Linked DNA regions of Coturnix japonica. The protein of the gene in region 1 interacts with the protein of each later gene in a pairwise test. Links are inferred from orthologs where the notes say so. Each region holds a gene or a part of one and is shown on either strand. Other genes may lie near its edges.

Region 1 (4,231 bases):
GTCTCTCTCATCCTGCCCTCTGTGTCCCTGCCACACCATGTCCCCACGCCTCAAACCACGATGCCACGTGGCAACGGCACCGAGCAGGGTGGGAGCAGAGGTTTAGGGCAGTGGGACGTGGAGACACGCAGGGCTCTGCTCCCCACCGTGACATACGTGGGGGTTACGGCCCGTCCTCCCCATCGGGCAGCACTAAACCCCTCCGGGCAGCCCCCGAGGGTCGGGCCGTGCAGTGCGAGCGGACACCGGGAGAGGGACCCAGCGCTGCGGGAAAGAAGGGCTGGAAAGGGGAGGTGCTGGATGGGGCCGGGACAACGGGAGGGTGGGGGCCATCCCAGGGACCCGCATCCCCCGCTGCCGGTACCAGGTGGGTTCGGTCGGGCCACACCACGGTTCCCTCTATTCCCTTCTGTGCTGAGAGGGGCTGGTTGTGCTGGAAGAGCGCACACAGGGCTGTGAACATGACGCTGTGCACAGGGATGGGGCTGCAGGAGTGATGGGGGTCCCACATTCCCACTCTATTCCAGCCAAAGTGGGACACACAGCCACCCCCCCCCCCCCTCAGGGCACATCACTGCACTGCGGGCAGGAACACATGGAGCCAGCCCGGGGGGTGCAGATGGAGCCCCCAGAGCCCGGGTTGCCCCCCATCCTGCTCTGGGATGTACCCAGTGTGAGCACACAAACCTCTTCAGTGCCACCACAGCCCCGATGTTACACAACCGTGTCCGATGCAATTTCCCTCCCCAGGAATGTCGCTCAAATCCTGACCGTGATCCCCGGGCTGAGCAGCAGCTGCACGGGCAGCACCGCAGCATCCCGGGCACAACAGCCGCTGCTGCAGCTCCAGGCAGCACATGGGGGACTGTCCCACGCTGTGTCCCAGCTGCTGCAGTGACTCACAGGTGACAGTACGTGAGTCATGGGGGAGCCACGGGCAGCCCTGCGGGGTGAGGGCAGGCCCAGGAGCTGCCCGATGATGGCCCAGCTGCGGCTCAGCCCTGCCCCGAGGTGTAGAACCCAGGTGGGCACGGAGCCCTGAGCCCGGCACTCACCTGCAGGGGGCAGCTCCGGGCCTTCATACTATTTCCCACGGCAGGAGCCGAAGTGGCTGGAACCTCCTTCCCTCCAGCCCAGTCTCAGCCTCAAACCATATTAGAACCCAGGGCAGATTGAGCAAAACGTGGTGATCCCAGGGCAAAGCAGCTGGCTCCACAAGTACGATGCTGGGACAGGGATGTGACACCTACAGCCCCAGCAATGCAGTACAGACAGCCCCAGCCAGCAGCCTGCACCACAAACCCCCCACCGGGAAGGCATGGCTGCCCCGGGGGAAGCAAGGAGCCAACCCAGAGCCCCCAGCCCTGCAGGGTGTATAGGAAAACCCATGGCCAGCTCAGGAGCTGGGATCCAGGTGCACCCAATGCTCTCCCTGCTCCATCCCAGGGCTCCCACTCCATCAACCTGCCCCAGAACAGCCCAGCACCAGCACCCAGCCCCAGTGCTCCCACACCACATGCACACAGATGGGCTCCAAGTGGTTCGATGCTCCGTGCCCAGATTCCCCCCCAGCCCCACACAGTCCCATACAGTGCAACCACGAGGAAGAAGCTTGCCTGGTAATCAGGGCTTGTTTAATAACAAAACTCCAGCTATTGTAGAACAATATTCTCCAGCATCATTGTAATATACAATACATGGAATGCTCTCAGCAATCTGAGAAGGTTACGAGCCGCGGCCGTCGGCTCCGTAGGGGCGTCCGTTCCGTGCTCTCGGATGCGGGTCCCGTCCGTGCCCTTATGGGGGGGGGGGGGCTCCGTTCGGGTCCGTGTCGGTGTCTCTCAGCGGCACAATATACGGTCGGCAGCGGCCATGCACGGAGCCTGCGGGAGGGGAAAAGCGGGCGGTCAGTGTGGATGGGGATGGCACAGAACGGGGCACAAAGCGGAGGAGGATCGGGATGGGAGAACGGAGGATCGGGACAGGAGAACGGAGGATGGGAGCGGGTCCATCGGGCCGGGAGGGGCCGCACTCACCTCTGGGGGCTCAGCAGGATTCGGGGGCCGGGCAGGGCCGGGCTGTAGAGCCAGTTGTAGGTCCCAGATGTAATCGATCACATGCTGCAGCAGCTCCACTTTAGAGACCCTCCTGTGCCGCGGCAACGTGGGCACCAGCGCCCGGAGCCTGGAGTAGCAGCCCTTCATATCGTACAGCAGCGCTGCGGCCGCTTGTTCGGCAGCGACGGCTCCAGGTCCCGGCCCGCAACGAGCGGCTTCCCCGGGTCGAACGGCCTTTAGAGCCCCACCGGGACCGGCGGGCAGCGGCGACGGGGCGGTAGAGGCGACCTTCATTGCGAGCGGCGGCGCTGGGACCCTGCGGGCGGCCGTGGGAGCTGCGTGCCGCGCTGCGCCAATTATAGAGCGCCGCCAGCGGGGGGGCGGGGCCTCCGGGAGAGCGCTGACCAATAGGAGCGCAGAGGGGGCGGGGACAGCTGAGCCGGCCCCATTCATGGGCAGCGCCTTAAAGGGACCGCGGTGTGCAGAGCGGAGTGGGGAGGGGGCTCAGGAATGCGAGGGGGGTTCAAGGGGGTGTGATGCTCTCGGGGTGCGGGATACGAGCTGGAAACGCCCGGCCCGACCCAGACCCTTCATGTGGGCAGTGACACCGTGGGCTCCCGCCGCTGTCTCTCTCCGCACCCCCCGGGATCCCCGCACCCCCCGGTTCCCCCCAGCCCGGTGCCCCCTCCGCACCCCAAGACCCGCAGCCCCTCTCCTCCTGTCCCTCTCCCCCTCCCATCCCCGACCCCCCGCACCTGCAGCCCCCGGGCCCCTCGTCCCCCCCCCCCTCCTCCCGCTCCCCAGACCGTTAGACGCCAGTGCCGTGACGTCACCCATTATAAAACTCCGTCGCCTGTCAGCGCGGCGCCGGGCGGGCGGCGCCCATGGAGACGGGGGCGGAGTGGGGCGGGGGGGCGGGGGGGGGGGCACTGCAGACGGAACCGGGAACGGGACACGACCACCCCCGTGGGGACAAGGAGACACCCCGGTGAGCGGCACCTGGGGCCGGTTGGGTGGCGGTAACATTCGTGCGGTCTGAAGACGAAAACAGAAACCCGGTCCCTGCCCTAAAGGGTTTCCGATCTAAGCGTTAATTAGCGTTAATGATCGCTACCTTTTTAGCCCGCACCTGCAGGGAGGTGCGGTCACGGTTCAGCGGGGGCCGGGCGGCATCGAGAGGGGCTGCTGCTCGGGGACCCCCCCCCCCCGGTACAGCTGAGACCCCTCCGGGAACCGTGTGGACAAGTGGGCACGTAGGTGTGTGCATGAGGTTCACACCTTGTAGCTGCACACCCATGCACGGCACACACACACAGATGCAGACCCATGCATGGGCAGATGCACGTGCATCCAGCTGCATGGGGTCGGTGTGCAGGGATTGCTGCGGCTGCAGGGAGCCGAGCCGTCCTGCCCTCATGGCAGGGGTTTGTTGGAGGTCAGAGCCCCCTCGCCCCCCCAGTTTCCATCCCTGGCTCTATGCGGAGCCGCAGCAGCCTCCTGTGGCACGCAGTGAGCCGAAGGCCTCCCCTCATCCTCCTCCTCTGCAAAGAGGGGCAGCCCTGCAGAGCCGTGCACACGATGGGCCTTTAACCCCATCACCTCCGTCTCTGCCCTGCCAGCCCGGCTGGGAGAGCAGCATCCCCCAGTCCCTCCATCCCTCTGCCCCCCCACCCCCACCCTTTGTGAGCACCTCCAGCCCCTCTGTCGCCGTCCCTCTGTCCCGGCGCGGTTCCCAGGGTGGGCACAGCTCTGGGGTCGCCCCCTCCATTCAGTTCCTCGCGGAGGGCCTGGTGCTGCCCGGTTCCCACCACGGCTCTCAAAGCCACTAATTAGCCCCCATCTGGCGGCGCTGGCCCGGCCGCGGCGGGGAGGCCGAGGACATTGTGCACAGCAATGAATGCCTTTCAGCACAGCCGGGCGCCCGCCAGCTGCGCAGCCAACAATACGGCACGGCTGGGACGAGCCAGCGCGGAGCATCGGCCACCCCGGGTGGTTTGGGGACAGCGATGGGTGTCCCACCACCACCCCATCCCGCAGCGTGGCTCTGAGGGACCCCCTTGGCACTTGGGATGATGGAGATACCGGCCCTTCGCCGCTGGTTTGGCTGCAGTTGGGAGCGGTTGTGCCGCTGTGTGTGCAGGGCAAGACGGATGGCTTCATTTCCATCTCAATTC
Region 2 (5,898 bases), on another chromosome or scaffold:
AAAGCCCCTGTGCAAGTTCAGCTCTGAGAAAGGGCCGGTGGGAACCCAAACCGTCCTACGTTTTTAAATATAACCCAAGCTATCCACCTTTTCCTGAAGTCCCGCTGCCAAGGGCCCTTGCTCGAGCCCATTGTGAGCTGCCCTCACCCTGCCCTGCTCTTACCATCGCGTCGGAGCAGCTGGAGCTGGGGCTGGTGGGCTCGGAGCAGCTCTGTCCCGGCAGGTGATAGTAGTTCTCCACCTGTTCCCTCAAGAGCTCCTGGAGGCTCTCGATGTACCTGATGGCGTTCCTCAGGATCTCCACTTTGGGGAGTCTCTGGTTGGGGTTGGCCGTGGTGCATCTCTTCAAAGTCTCGAACGCTTGGTTCACTTTCTTCAGCCTCCTCCTCTCCCTCATAGTGGCCGCCTTCCTCCGGTCCATGGTGGTAGATTTCCTCTTGCAGGCTTTGCAAGCCCACATGAGGCAGTGGCCGGCCTGGTGGTGCCCACTGGGGGCCCGGATGTGCTCCTCTTCCTCAGGGCAGGCAGGCTCAGTGGGTGCAGGGGCTCCGAAGGGAGGCAGCTCCCTGGGCTCAAAATCCTCGGGGAACTCACCCTCAGGGGATGACAGGCAGGAGCTGTCATAGAAGAGCTCGGATGGGGAGAACTGGCAGCTGTCCATCACCTCCATCTCTTCGTCCTAGGCAGAAGTGTGGGCTGGCAGCTCGCAGCTCAATGCAGCGATTCCCTCTGCAATTAGCGACCCGAGACAAAGTGGCCTCCGGCTGATGCGGGGCCCTATTATATATGCGCATCGTAGGAGGCTGGCCCGCAGTGGCCCGACTCCATTAGCATATCCCCCGCAGCCCCTGCAGGGCTGGGCAGGCCCCCTCTGGCCCCCAGGGGGCTGATTTGCTCTTCACCCGCCTTCGGGCAGCAGACAAGCTGGCAAGCGGTCTCTAAAGCCTACACCAATCTGGGGAGCTTGGAGAGGGAAAGAAAAAGATGGGCAGTGAGTGCATGGGCCATGGACATTCCCCACGTCAGCCCCTGCATCACCTTGCCATCACCAAGGGGAATGAATCCCCCCACACCCACAGTGCCTGCTCTCCTACCCCTGATCCCACACCCCAGATCCAACTCGACATGATTTACTCCTCTTTCAGCACTCACATTCACCCACTGATCTCAGAAGGCACTTTGTGCTGTAATTAAAGCTACGTTCCCACAAGAGAGGAGAACAAGGACAGATAAGTGTAACGAGGAGCGAGCAAACAGATGTTAGTGCTCTTGGGTTGGGTCAGACGGAGAAGCGCTCACAAAGAGCGTTTGCTGCCAGACAAACCCCTTCCCATTGCTTCTCCTCCGTGTGCGACCTGATGCTGCTGGAGACACAACAGCCGCACAGTGCCCCGGGCCCGCTGATTTTCTGCTTTCAGGCCAACTCGCACCGTTACAGATGCGTCCCAGCTGCCGGCATAACAAACCCCTCCTGGAAGTGTAAAATTTCTAACCCCAAACCTCTCGGTAACTTTACACAGGGCAGGGACAAAGCCCCGCGGAGGCCCAGCCGCTGCAGTAGCGAGCAGAGCTGCGCAGGGGTCATTAGAGCGGTAATGAAGCCATTTAACAGGCAGCTGCTAATGTGCGGGAACCCTTTGGTTTCAGCCAGGTGGCTTTGGCGGTTGGGGAAAACATTAGGAGACTGTAAAGGCAACTTTCCCTACCTGGGAATAGAATTATGTGATTAGGCTACCGCAGAAAGAGGGAAAGGAGCCTGCGGTGATTTGGATGGAGTAGAGGGCCACGGGGCTGCGGAATGGCTGCGGGAAGGGGAAGGAAGGGGCATTGCCACCCTGCTGTCTGCAGGAGCCTTGAGAGGGACACAGTCTCAGACACTGCGCCCACCCAAAGCTTCTGCACCTGCCTGGGCAGTGAGCAGGGTCTGGGGTTAGGATCTACCCCTGACCCTTGTGGACCCCTGCCCTGTACTCTCATCCCTCTACTGCCAAGGGAAAAAAAGAAGAAGAAAAAAAGGAAAACAAACAAACAAACAAAAAAATGGGACAAATTTTCTATTCTTAGGCTGAAACTTCTAAAGGAAAGTGCAAACGTGTATGCAGCCTTCAATATGAGAAAGATCTGGGGGCTTTGGGAGGGCTGTGTCTTCACTGCAGTGGCTTATTTGAGTCCATAAGTGGGGATAACCCCCTCTGAAAGGAATCCAGCAGGGAAAGCAGAATGTTGCTATCACGACTGAAGTTACAGAGAGGCAAGGCTGGGCACGTCGATCCTGTGCCATGGGCAGCTCGGCCGTGCCCTAAACCGCCGGCCGGGAAGGCTGAGCTCCGCGGTAACGTGAACCCGTCACTGGGATGTAGCTCACCCCCCCCCCCCCCCATTTGATGTACGACGTTCGCTCCGGCTGAAGGAGAGCCGTGTACAGCTTTGTGTACAAACACACTCGCTCCTTATCGGGCCGGCGCTGTGCGTGCGGGGCGGCGGGGCCGGGGCTGAGAGCACCGCGGTCCGTGAGAGGCTGGGAAAGCATCGCCCACCGTGCTGGGCTATCGGGGGTTGGGGAGAGGGGAAGCTGTGCAACACAAAGCATGTTCTGGTGTCCCTCGGGAGCGCCCAGCTCCTCTGGTAAAGTGATCTCACAACAAATTTCCACAAGTGCGGCAGGCGACTGGAACTAAACGGGAGGGGGACGCAGACACACACACGGCTACAGGGGAGGGGGCTTCCAGCCCTTTGCAACAAAATGCTTCTGACGGAAACAGCGGGGTATGCGGGTTTGGGCTGCGGGATCGGCCCGTTGGGGCAGAGTTGTGTCCGTGCGATGCCGCACCGAGAAAGACGCGTTTGGTCCCCGTGCACCTAAGTAAACACATCGCTACCTGCCGGGGGGGGTCGGGTGGGGACAGCTGAGGAAGGCATTGGCCTCTGCCGGCACTCCGGGACTCCCAGGAGAGATCAAAGGGACACGCGGGGGCTTTTAGCAGCCTTGAGACTGGGAAAGTCGCAGTTCCCGCTGCCGGAGGGCTCCCGGCGAGCACATGGCCCCGTTATTTGCCTGCTCATCCCCCGCCCCCCGTTCCCATTCCGCTGCCCGTTTGCTTCAAAAACCGTCCGCGCTCTGCAGGCAGCAGCAGCCGGAGCGGGCTGTGAGTGCTCGGTCGTGCCTGTGAGCGCCGAACGGGGGGTGGTGGAGCGGGAGGGGGCACCTGCGTTAGTGTGATCTGCAGAACAGACGTGATTAAACCACAGACCTCGTTCCGATAATATGATCCAGGGCCCTGTTTTGGTTTCGGGCTTGGGTATTAGTTATTAGTATCGAACCCAAACGCTTCAATTGCAATCACAACGAAGCACAAGGAAGCGCGGGGTCACGGAGAGCCCCGTCCGAAGTGTTCGGCTGAAACGGGCTGCGGTCGCGGAAGCTCCCTCGGGCTGAGGGGGATCACCTGAGGGACCGGGTTTAATGAGCAGGAGGAGAAGGCGGTAACACAAAGAGCTTTATTTTACAGTCAGAGGAACCCGTTCTTATATACAATATCACTTCCATCATTTAAATACATATCTGTCATGTTTACAAAAGGCAGTACTGAAATTATTTACAGACGGGAAACGAGACGGGGGTCGCTCTTTAGCACGACTCACAAGAAACGCAGCCAAACGGCTTCACCCTGACAGGAATGGACTGCTCGGCGACCGCTCCGCCGGTACAGCGCTAAGTACCGTCAGTTCAAGATAAAAAAGAGGATGGGGGGTGGTCTGTGGGTCAAAACTCGGAGAAAACAAAACGGGAGATAGAAAGAGGGGTGAGAAAAGAGTCCGTACGGCTCCGCTCTCCGAGGGCCGTTCCGCCGGTGGGAGCGTGCCCCGAGAGGCGGCCGGAGGCTCATTTCTCCACAGCCTCCTCCGCGCCGGGCAGCTTGGGCTCGTCGGAGGAAATGCTGTCCACGATGGACGAGAGGCAGCGCAGGCTGCTGGAGGCCGACGACTCCACCATGGAGCCCCCTGCTCGGCGGGAGAGAGGGGTTAGAGAGCGGGAGCGGCCGGGAGCCGACAGAGGGGTGGGAGCGCCGGGCTGTGTGTGAGCACCGGGCTGTATGTGAGGCCGTTACCTGCTTTGGGGCTGCCCCCCAGCCCGCGGGAATGCTCGGCAGCGCCGTGCCAGTCGGAGCCGCAGGTGCTCAAGAAGTCGGAGCCGGGGACCTGCGGCGGGGCGCGGGCAGAGGGGACGCTGCGTTAGCGGGGCGGGCGGCGGCGGGGCTCGCGCGTTACCCCGACCCCCCTCGTTCCCCCCCTTTCCTCCCCCCGCGGCCGTCAGCCCCATGTCAGGGGGAGGAGGAGGGGAAGGAGGGAGGGGAGCTCGGGCCCGCAGCTGGGCGCCGGAGGGAGCGAGCCGCCGTGCTTACGTTTCCTTGCTTGGGGCTGAAGCTGAAGGGATCCGCCGCCACCTCCTGCATTTTGTCCTGTTGATCCAGCCTGTGAAGCAGGTCCTGCAGGCTCTCGATGTAGCGGATGGCGCTGCGCAGGATCTCCACCTTGGGCAGCCGCTGGTTGGGGTTGGCCACAGTCCGTCTTTTCAGAGCCTCGAAGGCTTCGTTGATCTTCTTCAGCCGCCTCCGCTCCCTCAGCGTGGCCGCTTTCCGCCGGTCAGTCGGGGCCGACTTTCTCTTGCAGGTTTTGCAGGCCCAGATGAGGCACTGGCCGGGGCAGTGCGGGGGCTGCAGGCCCGGTGGGGCCAGCACGTGTTCCTCGCCGCTGCTGTCGCTGCCGGCCTCCGGCGGCAGTTGGTCCTGACACGGGGACAGGGTGCCGTCGCTGCCCGGGTACAGCGGGGAGCCCTCTGCCATCTCCAGCTGCTGCAGGGCCCCATTCTCCCCGTCCAAGTAGAAGAAATAGGAGCCGGTTTCGAAAAGGTCCATCATCATGCTGTCCCTCGGCCCCTCTGCTTGCTCCAGTGGGGTGGAAGGCTCAAAAACACCCCGAGGAGCAACCCAGATGGAATTTAATTAGTGCAGTGACATAAGTCCCCACTGCTTTATATATAGGAGCTACTGAAACCCTATCCAACTTTTAGCTGTCGCGGTGCATCACCCTCCAAAACTGATTCCAGCCAGTCTCCTGGGCGCTGTCCTGAGAACATCTCCTATTTAGAAGGCTGGGAAGGAGGGGGCACACGGAGAGGGAGGCAAAGAGAAGAAATAAAGGAAAACAAACGACAAAGAGAAATGCCCCCCCGGGAGGCCTGTGAACTTGGGACGAGGTGGTAAGGAGGGGGCTTGGGGAGCTGTGTCTGAGCCCAGCAGGCAGCTCTGCTGAGGGCTGGCAGGGAACACAGACACAGGGCTGCCTGCTGAGCCCTCCCCAGCCGCACACACACACGCACAGATACATACACACACACACACACACACAGCACCCACTTCTTACCCCAGTGCCAAGTATAGGTTTTGTAAAGAGGGCTTTCAAAGGCAGCCCTGGTTCTCCAAACAAAAGGGTGAATATTTTCAGAAGCTCCTGCTATTCCGGTAGCCCCCTCGAAGCATGCCATTCGTGTGACCCACAGCTAGCCCAAGGTTAGGAGCCAGTCTCACTATTCCTCCACACACGGGGGAAGGCTGCCAAGGCAGAGCCGTGCTGCAGAGCTGAAGCACCTGTGGTTATCACACCCTGGTGCAGTGTTTTCCTTTGAACTTTCCGATGTTTCCTGGGAGATGACAGAAGTTAATTCAGGTGACTGGGTTACAGCCTAATGGGGCTCTCTGGACAGCCCCTGTCCTTGACGGTGTCTAGGGCAATCAAAGCCCAGGCATTTGTTGTAACTGCAGCTTAATCCCTTGGGCCTGGCAAGACTTACAGAGCTTCCTGGCCCCTGAGACAGAAACGGAGCTTGTGATCACCCCC

Evidence for each region. The genes of interacting proteins can lie anywhere in the genome.
Region 2: the proteins of ID1 (region 1) and MYF5 interact in binary tests that used the Homo sapiens proteins (3 or more experiments, as listed by UniProt). The link is inferred for Coturnix japonica from reciprocal best matches to the Homo sapiens genes ID1 and MYF5.

The regions. Positions count from the first base shown.
Region 1 is NC_029535.1:9,035,137-9,039,367, forward strand, and holds ID1 (DNA-binding protein inhibitor ID-1), read right to left. Parts: upstream 2,405-4,231; 5' UTR 2,352-2,404; coding exon 2,037-2,351; intron 1,884-2,036; coding exon 1,842-1,883; 3' UTR 1,613-1,841; downstream 1-1,612. UniProt on the Homo sapiens protein: Transcriptional regulator (lacking a basic DNA binding domain) which negatively regulates the basic helix-loop-helix (bHLH) transcription factors by forming heterodimers and inhibiting their DNA binding and transcriptional activity.
Region 2 is NC_029516.1:36,350,565-36,356,462, reverse strand, and holds the start of MYF5 (myogenic factor 5), read right to left. Parts: upstream 3,393-5,898; 5' UTR 671-3,392; coding exon 164-670; intron 1-163. Other genes in the region: MYF6 (myogenic factor 6), read right to left, coding at 3,884-4,002, 4,110-4,200, 4,404-4,922.